Macaca fascicularis: one gene and its partners. The protein of the gene in region 3 interacts with the protein of the main gene of each other region in a biochemical or structural test. Links are inferred from orthologs where the notes say so. Each region holds a gene or a part of one and is shown on either strand. Other genes may lie near its edges.

What was found.
Region 1: the proteins of TAL1 (region 3) and SIN3A form a complex in vitro, tested with the Homo sapiens proteins (2 studies listed by BioGRID). The link is inferred for Macaca fascicularis from reciprocal best matches to the Homo sapiens genes TAL1 and SIN3A.
Region 2: the proteins of TAL1 (region 3) and LMO2 form a complex in vitro, tested with the Homo sapiens proteins (2 studies listed by BioGRID). The link is inferred for Macaca fascicularis from reciprocal best matches to the Homo sapiens genes TAL1 and LMO2.

What each region holds. Positions count from the first base shown.
Region 1 is NC_088381.1:52,595,053-52,601,886, forward strand, and holds part of SIN3A (paired amphipathic helix protein Sin3a), read right to left. Parts: intron 3,836-6,834; coding exon 3,628-3,835; intron 97-3,627; coding exon 1-96. UniProt on the Homo sapiens protein: Acts as a transcriptional repressor. Corepressor for REST. Interacts with MXI1 to repress MYC responsive genes and antagonize MYC oncogenic activities. Also interacts with MXD1-MAX heterodimers to repress transcription by tethering SIN3A to DNA.
Region 2 is NC_088388.1:31,712,402-31,719,235, reverse strand, and holds part of LMO2 (rhombotin-2), read right to left. Parts: intron 3,387-6,834; coding exon 3,171-3,386; intron 1-3,170. UniProt on the Homo sapiens protein: Acts with TAL1/SCL to regulate red blood cell development. Also acts with LDB1 to maintain erythroid precursors in an immature state.
Region 3 is NC_088375.1:187,566,956-187,573,889, reverse strand, and holds the start of TAL1 (T-cell acute lymphocytic leukemia protein 1), read right to left. Parts: upstream 4,336-6,934; 5' UTR 4,277-4,335; intron 4,016-4,276; exon of another isoform or gene 2,355-4,015; intron 1,465-2,354; 5' UTR 1,309-1,464; intron 1-1,308. UniProt on the Homo sapiens protein: Implicated in the genesis of hemopoietic malignancies. It may play an important role in hemopoietic differentiation. Serves as a positive regulator of erythroid differentiation.

The DNA.
Region 1 (6,834 bases), on a different chromosome or scaffold from region 3:
CTCTGCTGCCATTTCACGGGGCACATGCTCCTTGGTCCATTTATCTACCCAGGCCTGGAATCTCTGATGTAGACGCTTGCTTACACGCTCATGGGACTGCAAAACAGAAAAAAAATATTTTTTATTAAATGAAGCAGAACCAAAAAAGAGCCCTTCAAATACAAAGCCTAATCTTCTTCTAAAGGAGCAAAGGAGAGATTGGGCTCAAGTCTTAGATACTGTTTTTTTCTTTTAAAAAAAAAAAAAAAAAAAAAAAGCTTCTCTGTTTACAGAGAAGTTAAAGTAGTAAGAACATAGAACATGTGAGGGCATGAAAATCCATAACGCCTCCAAAGAAATGTGAACACAGGCTCTGGGCTGAAAAAGCTCAGTGTTCTCAATTTTAGCATGCATTAGTATAACCTAGGGAATGTGTTAAAAAGACACATTTCCGACGAGGCGCAGTGACTCACGCCTGTAATCCTAGTACTCTGGGAGGCCGAGGCAGGCAGTTCGCTTGAGCTCAGGAGTTTGAGACCAGCCTGGGCAACATGACAAAACCCCATCTCTACAAAAATACAAAACTTAATCGGGCATGGTGATACAATCCTGTAGTCCCAGCTACTCGGTAGGCTGAAGTGGGAGGACCGCTTGAGCTGGGAGGTGGAGGTTGCAGCGAGCTGAGATCGTACCACCGCTCCCCAGCCTGGATGGCAGAGCCAAACCCTGTCTCCAAAAACAAACATACAAAAACCCCAAAACCCCACATTTCCTTGGTTTTACCAATCTGCTCTAATGTATCCTGGGTAGGACCCAGTGAGCCACTGATCACTTCTATCAGCATGGAGATCCACTTCTAAGCCAGATAGTGCAAAGCAAAGGGCTTAAAACCCACTCTCCCTCCATTGTGTTACCCCACCCTGGCAAGCAGAGTCCAGGCTTGCCAGATCTTCTGCAGGGGGTTCTGTTCCCACCAACACACCCAGTAAAAATTTATTGGTGACCACATGCAAGGATACTAGAAGAGATACAAAAACAAAACTGCTGTTGCCCAGTGTCCCAAATAATGTGAATCAGAGACAGGCAGACACACACACATAGCAAAAAAAATTTGTCAGGCGTGGTGGTGCACACCTGTAATCCCAGCTACTCGAAAGGCTGAGGCAAGAGAATCTCTTGAACCCGGGAGACAGAGGATGCAGTGAGCTGAGATCATGCCACTGCGCTTCCCTCCACGCCGTGAGAGAAGTACAGCAGACTCTTGAATAACACGGCTTTGAATGGCACAGGGCCACTGATAGGCAAGTTTTCTTCCACCTCTGCCAACCCCGAGACAGCAAAACCAACCCCTCCCCTTCCTCCTCCCTCTTCAGCCTACTCAACAAGATGAGAATGAGGACCCTTTATGATGAGCCACATCCACTTAATGAAGAGTAAATATATTTTCTCTTGCATATGACTTAACATTTTCTTTTCTCTAACTTCCTTTATTTTAAGAATATACAGTATAGGCTGGGCATAGTGGCTCACACCTGTAATCCCAGCACTTTAGGAGGCTGAAACAGATGGGTTGTTTGAACCCCTGAAGACCAGCCCTGGGCAATGTAAGGAGACCCCGTGTCTATTTCCATTAAAAAAAAAAAAAAAAAAAAAAACAAGAAAAAAGGAATGCAGTATATATAATACATACAACATACAAAGTATGTCTATCAACTGTTTATCAGTAAGCCTTCCAGTCAACAGTAGACTATCAGTAGTTCCATTCCGGGGGAGTCAAAAATTATACATAGATTTGACTGTGCAGGGGCCAGTGCCCCAAACCCCGTGTCATTCGAGGGATAATCATACATTAAACTGTGTGCTCAACATCTCCCACTTGAAAGTTTTGTAGTCCTTTCAAACTTAAAACGCACTTCGTCTGTCTCCTAAACCTCATAACCCTTTTCTATTAACAGGTGAGCCCCTAAAATATCCACTTAAGCAAAACAAACCAAAAAACCCCAAAACGAATTAGGCACCATCCTTGATGTCCTCCTTTTGCTTACCCCCACATTTGATCCAATACCATCTCTTGTCAATTAAATATCTAAATTATATCTACATCCAGGCGTGGTAGCCTGTAGTCCCAGTACTTTGGGAGGCTGAGGTGGGTGGGTCACTTGAGGTCAGGGGTTCGAGACCAGCCTGGCCAACATGGTGAAACCCCATCTCTACTAAAAATACAAAAAATCAGCCAGGCGTGGTGGCGCGTGCCTGTAATCTCAGCTGCTCAGTAGGCTGAGACAGGAGAATCGCTTGAACCCAGGAGGCAGAGGTTGCAGTGAGCCGAGATTGGGTCACTGCACTCCAGCTTGGGCGACAAGAGTGAAACTCTGTCTCAAAAATAAATAAACACATAAAATCTACAATGTAATTCTTGCAATTCCACTGCCACCCTAGTAGTCTGGGTGGTCCCCAAATCTCATTTGGACAAGGGCACCCTTGAGTGGTCTCTGCTCTTCCAACTTTATACATACCCATCTCCACTCTCCTCATAGCACTCCAAGCTATCTTTGTCAAATGTCCCAATGCATCTCAAACAAACTCCAAACCATGGCCTATTAGACAAAGTAATGTGGCCTCTGCCTACCCTTCTAACTTCATGCAACCTTGAGCCACAACGGTGTCTGTAGTTTCTTGAATATGCCATGTTCTTTCCTCCCAGCCTTGTACTTGCTGTTTTGTCTAGAAAACACCCATCCTCTACTCTTCACCAGGCTAATTCCTTGTCATTATTCAGGCCTCAAGCATCACCTCCTTTGAGAAGCCTCCTCCAGTGAAAGCAGGGCCTGTATGCTAGTTACCCTTGATCACTGCACCTGATTTGTTTCCCTGGTAGTGCATATCATCACATTACTTCATCTGATCAACTTCATGGCTGTAGTCCCAGGGCCTGGCATAACACCCTGTACACAGCTGCAGCAGGAAGGTTTCACAATTGAGATAGAATGTAAAAACAGGTAGAATTCATACAAGCAAACGATCAGATACTACTTGAGATGTAAATACTGGGAGTAAATTCACTAAAAAGGTGCCACCAGGTATTTATATGCTCTTACGGGCTGAAGTGTGTTCTCCCTAAAATTCTTATGTTGGCTGGGTGTGGTGGCTCGTGCCTGTAAAGCTAGCACTTTGGGAGGCTGTGTCAGGCAAGACTGTCTCAAACAAACAAAAAATCAAATATTGAAGTCCTGGCCCACAGTACTTCCAAATGTGACCTTATCTGGAGGCAGACATACACACAGGTAGAAACACCATATGAAGATAAAGGCAGGGATCTACAAGCCCAGGAATGCCAAAGATTGCCAGCAAAGAACCAGAAGCTAAGAGAGGCCTAGAACAGATTGTCCCTCACAGTCCTCAAAAGGAACCAACACTGCTGACACCTGACTTTGGACTTCTAGTCTCCAGAACTTTTGTCGTTTAAGCCACACTCTGTGGTACTCTGTCACAGCATCCTTAGCAAACCAACATACCTACTTCCTCAGCTAAGTCTCAGCTCCAAGAACAGGTTTGCATAAACAAAGAGAAACAATCAGAAGACTCTGGGCCTCCCCTGCTCCTAGCTAGGGTGGCAGATGTGTACAGAAATTAGTTACTGGTTCTCACCTGATGAGCCCGGAGCAGGGCAGTCCTCCGATACATATAGTCCTCTGATTTGATCACATACACCATCTTGTAGGAATTCAGCTTGAATCTACACTCCAGCTTATCCAGACTATCCACATTCTCCATGGTCTTCTTACTGTTTCCTTCCTTCCCTTCCTTTTCCTGCTGCTCTCGACCACGCTGACATTTCCGGATCCGCCGTAGATTCCTATGGCAGAAAAGCCCTGAAAGATGAGAGCTCATCCAGACACAGATTCCCGTGACTTCCCCCAAGTGAGTTTTCTTTATTATATGCTTACATAGTACTCATCCCAATTTGTTAAATACATACAAAAATGTTCCGTTGTTTCACTGCAAAAAAAATTTCAACTGCAAAGGTACACAGAATAAAAAGTAGAAATCTTCACCCATCCCCTACTTGCCTTAGCAGATGCAGCCAGTTAAGAGTTTTAATGAGAAACTTCTGGGCCTCCGTCTGTAAATTTACACATGTAATTACCAGCTATAATTCTGCTTTGGGATTTGTTTCTAAGACAAAATAGGATCATACTATATATTCTGTCCTCAACTTTTCACTTACTGTCATGAGTATTTTTTCATTTCATGACAGATTTGTCTTATTCTCTTTAACTGCTGCAGAAAAATGTACCCCAATTTACCATTCCTTAACAGTTTATTTCAACTGAGGTTCCTCATCTGAACCACATAACAAAAAATTATTTGAATGCCTATTTTTAAAAATTCCCCCAGATGATATAAACTAGTGCCACTCTACATAGACAAGAAAGAAGATAATTCACATGAATGGATGCCCTGAGGGGTGGGAGGCTTGCTAAATCTCCTCAACATCCAGTGAAGAAAGGTTATCAGCTAGACAATTATACTGTTTCTCATAACTTGCTATTAAAAACACTGCTTCAGGTTGGCCGTTGTGGCTCATGCCTATAATCCCAGCACGTTGGGAGGCAGGTGGATTGCTTGAGCTCAGGAGTTTGAGACTAGCCTGGGCGACATGGCAAAAACCCCTTCTCTACAAAAAATAAAAAAATTAGGCAGGTGTGGTGATGTGTGCCTAGAGTCTCAGCAACTTGAGAGGTTAAGGTGGGAAGATCGCTTGAGCCCAGAAGGTGGAGGTTGCAGTGAGCCAAGATCCCACCACTGTACTATAGCCTGGGAGACAGAGTCAGATACTGTCTCAAAAAAAAAAAAAAAAAAAAAACCCCAAAATATTGCTCTAGTGAGTATCTTTGTATACATGTATTTCTGTAGACAGCAGTTCTTTGTCCAAAGGGTCCCAAGACCCTTTTAGGAGATCTGTGAGATCAAAACTATTTTCATAATAATACTAAAATATTATTTCCCTTTTTTGCTGTGTTGACATCTGCACTGGCACCATAAACGTAATGGTGAATAAAAATGGTGGTGGCGCCAAATTGTATTTGCAATATCGAACAAATTGTTACCAAATTCCAATATCAATCTATATACATCACTGAGCTTTTCATACAGTTGTCAAACTCTATTGGTTTATTTTGTACCATGAATGAATCCTTTTACTTCCACGATTTTGTAACCTCATGCAATTGCAATTCAAGTCTTTGAACTTCACACTGACTGCACAATGACATTAAGTGAAAAAAAGCCAGTTTCACTTAAGAAGGTTTCTGATGGGCCAGTCACAGTGGCTCACACTTATAATCCCAGCACTCTGGGAGGCTGAGGCAGGCAGACCACTTGAGGTCAGGAGTTTGAGACCAGTCTGGCCAATTGGGGGAAACCCCATCTCTAATAAAAGCACAAAAATTAGCCAGGCATGGTAGCGTGCACCTGTAATCCCAGCTACTTGAGAGGGTGACTCAGGAGAATCACTTGAACCTGGCTGGTGGAGGTTGCAGTAAGCCAATATCATGCCACCACACTCTAGCTTGGGCAACAGTGAGACTCTGCCTCAAAAAAAAAACCAATGTTTCTGATGAAGGAGTAACATTTTTTATTAAATCCCAACCCCTCAGTTTACATATTTTTAACATGCTGTGTGATAAAATGGGAACTACATATAAAGCACTTTTGTGTGCTAACGTACAACGGTATTTTTTTTTTTGAGACGGAGTCTCGCTCTGTCGCCCAGGCTGGAGTGCAGTGGTCGGATCTCAGTTCACTGCAAGCTCCGCCTCCCGGGTTTATGCCATTCTCCTGCCTCAGCCTCCCGAGCAGCTGGGATTACAGGCGCCCGCCACCTCGCCCGGCTAGTGTTTTTGTATTTTTTAGTAGAGACGGGGTTTCACCGGGTTAGCCAGGATGGTCTCGATCTCCTGACCTTGTGATCCACCCGTCTCGGCCTCCCAAAGTGCTGGGATTACAGGCTTGAGCCACTGCGCCCGGCCAGTACAATGGTATTATTAAAGAAAAGTACTTGAGCAATTGCTTGAGTTGTAAGTGGATCACCATTTTTACCTGAAAGAACAACTGACTAAATATAGTCAATCTCAGCCAAGTATTTGGCAGATGTTTTCTCAAAAATGAACAAGGGAGCCTATCACTTCAAGGAAAATAATGTTGCCAATAATAAGATTAGAATTTTCAAGTAAAACTATGAATTGTGGTGAACTGGTATTAGCCACCCTGAGCTTGACAGCTTCCCAATACTTAAAGATGTGTTTGATGACCTAGTGATAGTGATATTAATCAATGTGATTTTTTTTGGAGACACTGTAAAATATATCAACATTTAGTAGGTCTGTACAACTTAGTGAGCTAATGTTTCCAAATAGCCAATTGCATAGTTACAAAATCATAGAGGAAAAAAAGATTCCTTCATGATACACATGAATGAATGTGAGAGCTCAGTGATGGATAAATTGATATTGGAATTTGGTAACACATGTGAGAGACACATGATGGATTTTGACAACTGTATGAAAAGCCCACTGATATATAAATTGATATTGCTACTAACCTTTAAGAAACTATTGGCTGGGCACGGTGGCTCACGCCTGTAATCCCAGCACTTTGGGAGGCCGAGACAGGCAGATCACGAGGTCAGGAGATTGAGACCATCCTGGCTAACATGGTGAAACCCCGTCTCTACTAAAAATACAAAAAATTAGCCGAGCATGGTGGCAGGTGCCTGCAGTCCCAGCTACTCGGGAGGCTGAGGCAGGAGAATGGCGTGAACCTGGGAGGCGGAATTTGCAGTGAGCCAAGAAA
Region 2 (6,834 bases), on a different chromosome or scaffold from region 3:
CCAGCTAATTTTCCTCCGAATCCTGCTTTCCATTTGAAGATTTCCGAGTGTTTCCAAAGCACCGCCTGGGAGCAAACTCATTACTGGGGGAGAACATTTTATCCCAACGTAGCAGATGGTGGAGCGGCAGGTAACCGCCACATTGGAGGTCACGGAGTGGAAAGACAGTTCTGGTTTCCTGACTGTTCTGTAAGTTAAGTTTGGGCCTGAGCAAGGATGAACGACTGAGAAAACAGTGTGCATGGCATGAATCCAACCGCCTGGGGTGGGCGATCCTTAAGGAAGGAGGGAGCTTATTAAAGGGAAGTCAGGGGGTAAATTACAATCCACATCAGGCAGCTAATGAAGGGAAGGACAAAGGACGAATATGTGAGAGACAAGTTCAGGTCCCAGCATCACCTCTAACTTACCAGGTGACCTGAGCAAACGGAGTCCCCTGCACAGGCTTCCGTGACTTAAGCCGTAAAGCAAGGGAACTGAAAGAGAAGGCCCTTGTAGCCCTTTCCAGCTCTGGGATTCTGAGATTCTAATATTAGCAAAAAATAAGCCAGGAATTGACACCTTACTTGAACATTAACCTCTGGCACCAAGAATTGGTATCCTAGGCTGGATATGCCAGAAGTGGCCCCTGAGGCAAGGATTTATGTGCCAGTGATTTATGAATGATGCATTCTCAGGAAAAACCTGGAAGGCAGCAGGGGAGGCTGGAGGGAAGGGGAGGAGGCCAAGCCAAGTTGTAACCTCAGGCAAAGTCCCTCAGAGGGGAGGGACTCTGGAATATAAGTCATGCCTGGCTTCAGGCAAGGCTGCAGGGCTTGGTACTCCTACCATGTCTGTCACTGGTTAAGGTCCGTTGGGGGTGTAGCGGGGGCAGGCATACTTCAGGCTCTAACAGATTCAGGTGCTGGCTGTTAAAAGCAAAACCACTGCCATCACCACCACCCCACCACTCCCAGCACACTAGAATTAGTGAAAAGGGATCCAAGGAGCTCTGGCTCAGCACAGACATGAACAGTTGCTCCCAGGTTCCCAACAACACAGCAGAGTTGAGGTTCCGCATGGGGGTCTCATGAATATTTGAAGCGAAATGTCGGAAAAGAACTGTAACAGGCAACTCAGCCACTGGAAATCCTCATGGGGACGAGTTATCCTAGGGGTGAATTAGAATTCAACCCCATTACAGTCACTCTTCCAACTTGCCTGTTCAAAGATCCTGCCAGATATACCAAGAACGCAAGTAAACAAGATCTTGGCTAAAGGACCATCCCTGAAGCAAAAGACAATTTTTCTCCTCTGTCAAGAGGTGTCCCACCTTAAGCCCTCTGCTGCCCGTTTTAATAACAATAATATAAATGTTAAAGGATGGCTGGAAATGCCTGCACTAACGCAGAGTTAATTAACATGTTGCCTAGGAATGTGGCAGGGAGAAGAATTATTTCATGTCACCAAGACACAAGTTAATTAACATTGGGTTCTCCCAGACTGTTTTTTTTTTTTTCCTTCCTCTCCTTTTTGAAAATGGAAAGGATTAACAAGCCCAGGCAGCAATGGTTTTATTCCTGAATGTCATATAAAACGGTAGAGATAGGGAGAAGCCGGGGCTCTTCTGACCTTACTCAATCTGCACTTCATTTAATAAGATTCAAATGATTTGACAGGGATGGAGTCAAGGGTCCGATGGGATTCATTTACCCGTCTGCCTTCTCACTGACTTGGCAAAGTGGGAGTGAGCAAAACCAGGTCTGTATTTATCCCAGTTCTATTTTTTGGGACTTAAAAAAAGGAAAACTGACCAAAATTATAAGCATGATCATTGCAAAACCCTACTTATTTTCTCGGAACCACCATATCTGCAAGGACTGCAAGGACTTTATCTGGGAATTCAAGAAGGACAAAAAGCTTCTTCCATCAGTCTTTAGGTAAAGCCTCCTTCACTGTGAAACTGCCTGCAGTTTTTCGGTTTGGTTTTGTTTCTGTAACGTCAAATGCTCCGAGGGCAGGTTCGAGGGGAAAAGCTGGCCCAGCAGCCAAGGGCGCTGAGGTCTCAACAAGCTTCCATGGGTTGGATGGTCTGGGTGCATCAGGGAAGCATGCCTCACAGACCCTCTGCTCCAGGAAGACGGAGAAATCCTGACAGCTACACAGTTGAGCAGATCTGACAGTAGAGGGCACAGAGAGTTACCTCCACAGCAGCTCCTCGGAAACTAGAAACGCTAGTACATTCTAGGCAAAGGCATTCACAGAGTGCTGGAAAATTCGGATGGCCAACGGAAGCATGGGAGATGTCCTCAGCTCCTGTCTTACTTGGCGTGGTCGAGTTCCTATTTTACCCTTCCATTCTTCCATCCCTTTGCTCATTAGATTGGAAAATAATGATTACGTCATAAGGATAAGTTATAAGAGCAGCTAACATCTATTTGATCCATACCGAGTCAAGTAGTTTATCTGCATTATTCCATCAAATCCTCCCCACATCCTTAGAGGTAGGTGCTATTATGATCCCCATTTTACAGATGAGGAAATCGAGTCTTAGGAAGGTTAAGTAACTTTCCCAAGGCCACTAGGAAGCAACGGTGTTGGGACTCGAACCTCCAACTGCCTGCAGGGCCTTTGCCTTCTGTTCTTCAAAGACTGCCTTCCTGCTATGAGTCAATGCTTGGAGCTCCACATGCTTTCTATTGTTAAATTTCTCATCATATAATACTGGAGTCATACAAAAGAATATTTATAACATATATATATATGTGTGTGTGTGTGTGTGTGTGTGTTCTGAAGCATTCAAATGAGGTCCTCAGAGCCCACCTCCTAAGTTAGAAACACTCCCAGTTCCTCTGATCCTCCGTGCGTACTCCTCCTCAACCCCATCCCCTGGCTTCTCCCGCTCCCCAAGGGAACAACTCTGAATTTTGGGGTTACAATTCTCTTGCCTTTAAAGATATTAGTATTTTACCACATAGGAACGTAACCCTGAAAATATGCTTCTCAAACAGGAAGAAATGCCCTCTGCTTCTCGGCAGGGGAGCTGAGACTCAGTTTCTGCAGCCTGACCTCTTTCTATAGGTGGTGTCTAAGCCTGGAACAGGGTCGGGGGCAACATGCACAGACTGCAGATGTCCAAGGACCCCCCAGCCTCCCTTCCGAGGGCCCCAGTGGAGTGCCGCGGAGAGTACCTGAGATAGTCTCTCCGGCAGAGCTTCCGGCCCAGTTTGTAGTAGAGGCGCCGCCCCACCTCGCCCAGCCGGCAGCCACAGAGGTCGCAGCTCAGGCAGTCCTCGTGCCAGTACTGGTCGATGGCCTTCAGGAAGTAGCGGTCCCCGATATTCTGCTGGCAGCCGCCGCATGTCAGCAGGGACGGGGGGATCTGCAGCACCTCATCCACTGGTTCCCTGGAGAGAAGGCCAAGCATCAGGGACAGCCTCACCAGGGTGAGACCAGCACCGGGGGTCCCAGATCATTTTGGGCCAGACAGGGTACCTCACCTGACTGCCTTTTGGTGACCTAAGGGAGAAGGGACAGGACAACACATCCCTTGGCCAGATTGCAGAGTCCCAACCAACCTTGGGTTAAGACGGGAGAGAGCCAGACCTTACTCCCTAGATCTCTAAGAAGTCAACACAAGGCACCAAGAGGCATCAAAGGCAACTGCAGGTGGCACTGTGCCCCTGGCCCATGCCCAGCACTACCTGGGTACCTCTGGTCTCCTTCTGCTTTTTCCCTCTCTCCCCGCTGACTATCCCTCTCTGTCTTCACAGATTTCCCTCATTTTCCTCCTCCTATACCCTGAACCCAGGGGCACTGCCTAACCTCAGAGGCGGCACCCTGGACTAAAAGAGTCGCTCACCACCAGGGCAGCGGACGACCCAGAGAGCTAAGAATCTGCAAATCCCCTGTTGAATAAAGTGCCATCCTCCCTCCAGCCCTTCCCACCCGCACAAAAGCAGAGGTGAGGAAGAAAGAAGAATGAGACCAAAAATTATTTTAGGCTGCTTTCTCTTTCCAAAATAAAAATTCCATCAGGATATAATAGGAATTCTCCTAGTTTTACTCTTTTACAGAAATTCCATTTTCCATTCTTCCTACTGAAGGAATACTTGGAGGAAAATCCCATATTGTAAGGCCATTGTTACACTTATGAAGAACATCAAATAGGCCTTTCTTTCCTTACCTGAACATTTTTATAACAGTAAAGCTGATTCGGATAAAGTTGATTTGAGGAAGAAAATGAAGTGGGGGCAATGATTATTTCAAAGAGAGTGGAAGGCAATTAAACAGTCATTGACATCTCAATCCAGCAATTGTTAATAGGCTGTGACACGCGTTCTTTCATTAATGTGCCATGCATAGTATCTCTTGTTCACTTTGCTTCACTGGAATCTGAGTACTTTTTTAACTTTTAAAAATAAATAATTTTGCTAAAAGAAAATAAACGAGTGGAAGGAATTATTCTAGTGTCCCCCAAATGGGACACAGGAAACACTTAATACTTGTTGATTTGTAATAATTAGCAAGTGTTCTCTGGAACCTTAAACACAAATCTATTTCTTAAAAATCTATTATGTTTCAAAAACCAGACCTTCTTCCAACTGTAAAATTCCCAAAGGGAGTTTCCTCCTGGGTGCCCTGCAGGTATAAATCCACGTCTCCTATTTCTAACTAGTATTAACTTACCAGGTGACCTTGTGTCCTAATTGGTCTGAGCCCACAAAGCCCAGCAGTCATTATACTTGGGGACAGGAGGCTAGGTGGCTCAATGTCTATAACACTCTTGACAACTTCAGAGGATTCTGTCATGTGAAGAATGAAGCCTTTCTTGTGAATATTTAGGAGTGTTAAAGCCATGCCCACACTTTCTAGATACAGTGTAATAGCACTTCATGAGATTATCATCTTTGGAACAAGAAAATGTGAAGTTCAAGTTAGTTTATCTGGGAAAAAAAAAAAATGGCCAGGCACAGTGGCTCACGTTTGTAATCCCAGCACTTTGGGAGGCCAAGGCAGGAGGATCACTTGAGCCCAGGAGTTTGAGGCCAGCCCGGGCAACATGGCAAAATCCTGTCTCTACAAAAAATATAAAAAATTGCCCAGGCTTGGTGGCATGAGCCTGTAGTCCCAGCTACCCAGGAGGCTGAGGTGGGAGGATCACCTCAGTACAGGAAGTTGAGGCTGCAGTGAGCACTGCACTCTAGCCTAGACAACACAGTGAGACCCTAGCTCAAAAAAATCAAAACTATAGTTTCTTTTTTTTTTTTTTTTTTTTGAGACAGAGTCTTGCTACAAATTTGTAGCCCAGGCTGGAGTGCAGTGGCACGATCTCGGCTCACTGCAAGCTCCACCTCCTGGGTTCGCGCCATTCTCCTGCCTCAGCCTCCCAAGTAGCTGGGATTACAGGCATCCGCCACCAGGCCCAGCTAATTTTTTGTATTTTTAGTAGAGACAGGGTTTCATTCACTGAAGCCTTGCTTTCTTTCCTTTGTTTCTACAGATTGTATATAAGGACTGCCATTTTCCCTTCTAATAAGTAATACCCTAGCGTTTTTATGTGTATCAACTCGGAATTGCATCTCTTCTCTTTCCACAGCCCATGGTCTTACTCTGGGCTTTCAAAACCACTCATGGGACCTCGACAGACATTGGATGTCCCGATGCAGATGCTGCCAAAGGACTGTGAAAGAGGATAATTTGCCCTTAGCTGGTGCAAAACTGCCTGGAATTCAAATGAACTGCTCTTGTTACTCACAGGGGAGGCAGTGGGGGCCACCAGTGGCATAGCAAGGGAATCTCTGTGTTCATGAATTCTGGCTGGCTTTCTGTCCAAATGTTTCATTTGCATATAGCTAGGCAAGTCTCCATCTGTAATTTGGAGATGCTGATTGTAATGACCCAAGTCGGCTTTGAGGAAGTACACAATGAAGCATCTAGTAGGATACTGGACAACAGGAGGAACGTAAAGTAAAAGAGTTATGGTGATGGCCTGAGATGAGATGGAGAAGTAAAGTATAAGATATTGGCTCTGTCTTTCTATAATTAATTGATAATATCACATTATACTTAGTGGGCAATCCAAGACAATGAATGAGGTTGATTCACCCTCAAATTAATATTTTATATTCTCCCAGACCCTTATCTTGAATATTACACCTGAGTATCACTTCAGCCTGGATTTCTGGGATAATCATAACAATTTCTAAGGGGGTGGAGAATGTGCTGCTGCAATTTCTCAACTAGCTTGTCCCTCTTTGATCAGAAACTATCTTCGCTGGGCAAATAGTGAAGTGAAGGAAGGAGCTGGTGAGCCTCCAGCAGTAGATACCTGCTGTGTTAGGAAGTTAGGATGTTTCAGTTTTCTAACCTCAGTGAAAAAGCACAAACTTTGAAAGACGCAAACTTCCTTCAGGGAAATGAAACCTTCAGATTTACCTTCTATTGAAAGGATTAGTGACTAAATTCTGCTGATCAAAAAGGCATGAGGCACCAATTCATCCAATTCACTCCCTTATTGTGTTACTATGATCTTGCCCAGTCTCTGAAACTCAAAGCTCAGTTGTAATTTTAAGTTTATTTTTAAAAAAGTGATCAAACCACCCTTTAAACCCATTGTTGACATAAACATACTTTTAAAAAGAAATGTTATTTTTCTCCTGAGAATTTGTTGAAGGAAGTGGGGGTTTTTGCTACAACAAACCTAGCTCATTACAGAACTGGTGTCTTAACCTTCAAGACGGAATAGTGATGTTTATATTCTCATTGGATGGTGGTACTTCCTGTGTTTTATGAGAACATGCTGAGCTTTTATGCTGCTAACTGAGGGTAAAACCCAGGTAAATAAACACCATA
Region 3 (6,934 bases):
CTATCTCACTGCTCACTGTCCTGACACACCGGTGTGAGCCCAGGGACCCGTCCTTAAGCCCCAGCTTCTAACCGAGTGACAGTGTGCACTGCAGTTGCAGACTTAGCTCAAGCTCTGTTATGACACGTTTTTACTCTCCGATTAATTATTTGACTCTAGCAGCGGGTTCCTGAGAGGCAATGGGAGTACATATTCCAGATGAATTGACCCTGGCCCCAAATGTCTTCTCCAGACGCCTATAAATATCCCATCTCCAAGGCTCCTTGTGAGAAATATATGATTGGCTCCCAGGGTCTGTGGAGGACCTCTCCCGGCTTCTCCCCACATTTTAGGAAAATCCTGCCTGTTCTTCTGCAACCAGGATCACCAGCCAGAGGTCTATGCCCCAAAGAAGCCACTCACACACACTGACGGTTGTTGGCGACTAAGCTGCATCACTTGGTTTGATTACAGAAAGGAACGCCTGAGTGATTTTATTTGTTTTTATTTGGGGAGAATGAAGGAGGAGGGAGATTTTAGAGTTCTAGACTATTTGGCAACTACAGCTCCTCTCTCTTTGTACTGCGGAGACCCTGCTTATAGCCCCCAATGCAAAATCCTCATCTGCAGTTGCCAGACAGCCAGAATATTTCCACCTGTGCCAGAACAAGACAGAAGACCCCAGGAGATTCTTCCTAGGGACAGGTCTCAAGCAGACCCAATCTCCCATACAGAGAATTTCTTAGATGAAAACAGTCTCAGCCCTTAGACCCAGCCTCTGGTCTCTCTTCTGGGCCCACACCAGCACAACACCCTGGAGAAGCCCCAAGCCTGCACAAGTACCAAACCCACCAGGGAACAGCACCGCCATCCTCGCCTCTACCAGAGTAGAGGGGTGTTCCTGCAGCCCCACCCTAGGCCTCAGGCCCGGGGTCAGGGCCCACTCGAGCTGGGACTGCACTAGCCAGGAAGGCTGTCGCCTTCTTCCTGCGGGAGCTCCAGGCAGAGTCTGCACCACCCGGATACAGCCGCCCCAAAGTTACCGGCCTTGCAAAACGTCCACAGAACCGGGACCAACGGGAACGGCCTGGACGACTAAGTCCAAATAACTGGTTTTACCCAGGGCGGAAAAGGGAAAGAGCCGCTGGAGGCCACAGAAGCAGCTAGCAGCAATCAGATCCTGATTCCAAGCTCTGGCTGGTCCTCCCCTCCCCCCACCCCCAATCTGAGACTGGGCTCTCCTCTGTCCTGAGCCTTCCTCACCCCAGGCCGGAACCCGAGGCCTTCCTGGACACTGTTTCCACCGGCACCATTCCCCTGAAAACTCACCTGGGGCATATTTAGAGAGACCGGCCCCTCTGAATAGGATCTCCACTCCGCCGGAGAGGGGCGGAAGCCGAGGTAGAGGATGCAGACCCGGGTCTTTGCTTTCCCCCTTTTGCGCTGAGAGGCCTGCAGTTACGCTGCGGTGTAGTCCTGGGCGATCTGCCGCGCCCAAAGCGAGTTTCCAGGAAAGATAGGGGTGGAGAGAAAGAGGCAGGGCAAGAGGGAGGGAGAGAGAGAAATGGGGGTCAATAGCTGGGAATTACCTCCTGTCCCCGACCAACCAGTCCAGGGAATCGCAAACAGCTTTCCGCCCCCAACCTGCAGGTGTTTGGAGCCTTCCCTCTACCCCCTCCTCCCCCCACCCGCCTTAAAAAACCCTATACACGACCAATCCGGAATAGCTATTTAGTCCAACAACAACAACAGCAACCCCTCCCGACAGGCTGTCTGGAACATTTTCGAACCCTCCAACTGGGATCGGTCTGGTTCAGTGTTTGTTTTCTAAGCAGGGAGGTGTCTACCCGGTTGCCTCCGCAGCCAGATCTCCGACTGCCGCTACACCGGGAAGGGGTAGTCCCGGGCCTGGATGGGCAGAGGTCTGTGTTGGGAAAGGCGAATAGTCCTCAGACTCTGGTCGGTGGGACAGAACCTTGGAGTCCACCCCACCTCATTCTCTCCCTGATGCGCATCCACCCACCTCCAGCCCAAAGCGAAACCAGAACCCAATTCCAGGGGTTGTACTTTCCTACAGAAATGGAGTTGGGAAGGGGGTTTGGGGAGAGATATCTGATATGTTCAGGTCCTTTCTCGTCCGCCTACTGACTGAGAGAAAGAAAAAAGAAAGAGAGAGGAAGAGAGAGACAGAAAAAGAAAAGGAAATAAAGACCAACAAAGAGGGAAAGAAGAAAGGGGAAAAGTCCCCCATCTTCCCCTCCACCACCCCTACAAAACGATTTTCGATTTTTCAGGGTTTAGACAGAGTAAGGGAGAATTCTAATGATGTCTTACAGCAATAAACAAGGTGAAAGGAAAGGAACGCAAAAACAAACCCGATACTACTTTCAAGGATGTAGCAGGATTTAGCTTGCTTTTATTTTTTCCTGGTGGATTTTGTTTAATTTGTTTTGCCTAAATCGTCAGGCTTATGATCACACATCGAAGTCTTGGATTAACTGCGAAGCACTCCTTCTGTTTGCCGCGGCTTTGGTGGAAATATAGGAATAATTCTTCCCTGGATTGCAATACAATGCGGAAGATTTTCTTTCTCCGCTTCTAATCCAAAAGAGGGGAGGGGAGGAAAGCAGAGGGGAATCCATCCATTCCCGGCGTGTTATCGGGGGGTTAATGTTTGCGTGTTCGCTGGGGGTTAATGTTTGCCTTATGACCAAGTCTCTGTGTCCGTGCCTCTCTCCATTTTCTCTTCCTACCTCAAACCCAGCAACTTAGAAAACGGCAGTAGCGGGGAAAAAATCCGCTGCTTTGTTCTCCCGCCAAAGGAGCCAAAAGGGACAAACTGCTGCGCTCTACGATGATTATTTTAATTAAAATAGGATGTTAATGATGACGATTGTGATGGCGATGGCATTGGCAATTATAATAACTGACTAAACAAAATCCTTTCAACCCGAGCTAGGGCCCCACTAACCCGGTCCCCTCAAGAGCCCGGATTCGGCCTCGGTCTCGGATGCCACGGGTACCAGACCCAAGCGGCAACGTCGCTCACCCGAAGAGGGGGCGGGAAAATCTTCCCTGGAGGTGATCCCGAATGTCCCCACCCGAGGCGCGAGGCCTGGTTAATATGCCCATTGTCCTTTCGGGGCCTCTCCCTCGGACCCCGGCGGCCGCACCCACGAAACTGACCAGAAATGGACGAAGCCGGAGTGCAGCGGGAACCGAAGCCCGCAGCGACCGGCTCGAAGGCGCCGGCCTCGGTGAGCGCTGCTCAGCTTCAAGCCTGGAGGATCCTCCCATTCACCAACGAACCCCTCAAACACCGAGGCACAGGCGGGCCTCTGGGCAGAGCAGCCGCCGGCCCGGCTCTGTCCGCCCATCCAAGCCAACAACTGGCTCCCGAATACATCATAATTTGGAATAAAATGTGAAATCCCGCTCCCCGCCCCCATGCCGCCGCCCCCACCAGCGCCTCGATCTCTCGCTCGCCCTCCCCCCACTCCCGCCCCCAGCGATTTGCAAACGCACCTCTAAAGGACACAGGCACACAGGCACACAAGTCAGTGCGGACAGGACCACACAGGGTCCAGCCCCACAGAAGGGCAACAAACAAGCACCACTCAGCACTGCTCCAGAAGCCGACTTGGTCAGCCCCGCACACTGCCCAACAGGACACAACGAAATCGGTTAAACGTATCGGCTCACGGACACACAATCCAACACAGTCGGAATCACACTCGCCCGACATAACGAAGACACCACCCAAACACAGTCGCAGAGGCCACACACCCCCCCCCGCAGAACCAGATCCCTGCTGAGAACGCCAACGGAGCACAATCGTACGCAACGAAGAAAACGCAGAAGGGCCTCAAAGGGTCCACATCTACACACCCCAACCGCGCAGGCACACCACACTGGGACACACAGCCTGTCGCCAAGAAGACCACACTCAGAAGCAGCCAACGCCGCCCACAGCTCTCATGAACGCACTCTCACAATCCCACCGCATGCACACAACCACGAAGAAGAAATGAAAACCAACCACCGCCTCGCGCATTTCTGTATATTGCGTAAGGAAAAGGGGGAAGGAAGGAAGAGAGTCTCCGAGGCGGGAGGGGCGGCGGCAGCCCGGGCGGTGGCGTCCGTGGAAAATGCCCCCCCCCCCCCCATCGAAAGGAACCGAGGGAAAGGGAGCGAAGACCTCTTTTGCGGACGTGGGGAAAAAGAGGAGGAAATTGATGAGGAATTCGGTGGGAGGCCTCGGGTTGCTTTTCCCCTAGAAAAAGGCCAGAATGCTCACGTCTTTCCGCTACGGGGGTAGGTGTGTGGCCATTTTGAGGCCCGGTCCTGAGCGGCGGCGGCCCGGCCCCTCCCGCGGCCCCCGCTCCCCCGCCCGCGCCGCGCCCGCCCGGCCCCTCCACCGACGCGCTCTAATCCCACTCACGTTCCAGGCCTCGTTAGCATGGGCCGAGGCGCGCCGGGGCCGTGTGCGCTGCGGAGATAAGGCAGTGCCGCGGGTCCGCCCGCCCCCGATAAGCGCCTCGGCCATTATGGGCCAAATGATTCATTTTAATTTGGACGCGCTGTCTAGGACCCAGCAGATCCAGCCCCCATCTCGGATCCCAAGACCTCTCAGGAACCCCAGCTCCCCACAACCTCAGTCCCTTGACCTTCCAGACACCTTTCTTAAGCGACTCTCACCCCAACACTCTGTCCCTACCTCTGAAGACCACCATGATATCAAAATCGTCACCTCCCAGCGCTTCTTTCTTATTCTTCCTCCAGTGTCCCAGACACCCAGATTTCAATGGGCAGCCTCCCTATCCCAGAAAACTCCCCAGCCCTTCCCTACCTCTTCACCCCCTTCTAAAATAGAGCCGGTAACTCAAATTCATGGGCTCTACGGCGGCCTGGCAGAACTCCTGTCAACAGGGATATTAAAATGCCCATTCTGCTAGGTTTCAGGCTGAGCCCAGAGCCCAGGAACACTGCTCCCCACATGGTGTTAAAAAAAAAAAAAAAAAAAAAAAAGTCGGCCGGGCGCGGTGGCTCAAGCCTGTAATCCCAGCACTTTGGGAGGCCGAGACGGGCGGATCACGAGGTCAAGAGATCGAGACCATCCTGGCTAACACGGTGAAACCCCGTCTCTACTAAAAAATACAAAAAAAAAAACTAGCCGGGCGAGGTGGCGGGAGCCTGTAGTCCCAGCTGCTTGGGAGGCTGAGGCAGGAGAATGGCATAAACCCGGGAGGCGGAGCTTGTAGTGAGCTGAGATCCCGCCACTGCACTCTAGCCTGGGCAACAGAGCGAGACTCCGTCTCAAAAAAAAAAAAAAAAAGTTTAGTCTAGCGACTGAAACACTATTCTAGGCATTTTACAAATACTAACTAATCTGCTCTTCATAAACAATCCAGAGAAGTTGGATCCTCAATTTACAGAAGAGAAAACTGAGGCACATAAAGTCAAGTAACTTTTCGAATGATACATAGCTAGTGCTTGATGGAGTCTGCCTTAGAAGAAAATTTGGCACGGAGTCTTCTCTGCAACTCAGTTGATGAAAAGGGGCAGTCAAAACCTAGCCAGGGACAGGGACCTGGGATCAACTCATTGCGGGGACCAAGGTCTTTACTGTGGGGTAGGAATCTGAGTTCAGTGCCAGCTGGATGATGCGCTCAGCCCACGGAGGGTCTCTGGGTTCATTCTTTCATGGTGGAGTGGAAAGAACACATGTTCGAATTTTAGCCACTGATCTCTGAACCTCAGTTTTCTCATTTGTAAAATGGGGAGATAATGTCGACGTCACAAAATTGTGAGAACTAACTTATATGACCTTTAAAAGGTGGTGGTGAGGGTAATAATGTACGGAAAGTCCGTAGCCCAGGAAAACAGCATATGCACTTGCATGGGAGTTCTGGTTACCATCATAGAGAAAGAAATTAAGACACAGAGAGATGTGACTTAGCCAAAACTTACAGTAACCCAAAGGAAAAGCCAGCACCCAAACTTTGGTGTCCAATTCCCAGTCCACAACTCTACCCTCCATGCCAGGCTGATTTGTCCTTCTAGTATCTCTGCTTTTGAGCTTTTTTTGGAGCCTGAGAACTGGGGAAAAGCCCCTTCTCTGGTAACAAACTGAGTCCCAGTCAAAGATTGAGCTGAGAGCATGGCCCCAGTCTGGGATCTAACTTCTTCTTGGTCATCAGGATGTTCCCTGAGAAGATACAGTTAAATCAGTGCCGCCTGTCCCCTCTGTTCCTCCTGTGCTCTCTGAAGGGTCAGGCTGTCATGGGGATACAGATAACTCTCACAGAATCCCACGTCCTAAGAAAAACTCTAGTTCCTCCCTGCCATAAGGCCTTTGCTTTTGCTTGGCTCCACCACTTAATAGAAAATGAGAGTCATATAATTCTGAGTCTGAAACACAACTCTGCCATTCCGGGGCTGTGGGACCCTTGGACAAGTGATTTCATGTCTCTGAGCCACTGTGAAAACAGGCTAGCCATTCCCATCTAGAAGAGCCCAGGTGGGGACTGCTTCTCTGAGAAAATGAGGCCTGGACTGCGATCGAAGAGTGAAATTTGGGGGTGCGAAGAAGGGTGAGTATCCAGAACCTTCCAGGTGGGCTGAGGAAACAGCTGGACCAAGGGCTAGAACAGAAGGGCGGTAGGTTCATGAAAAGAAATAGAAAAGTGTCCAGTATGGCTGGAGCATGCTTGTGGACAAGTTACAGGATTTTTTGGCATTTTTTTGTTCGTTTGGTTTGAAGGTGGGGGTGGTACCCTGTATAGAATAAGATTTGCATTTCTAGAAAGTTCTTTGGCTGAAGTGTGGAGGGGGAAAGACTTTGGGAGGCCAGTTCTGGAGCCAGTGCAGTGGTTAGGGGAAGGGGATTAGAGCTTGGACCACTGTGTTGGCAGAAGAGATAACAAGAGGCAAGTGAAGATGACATGTATTTGGG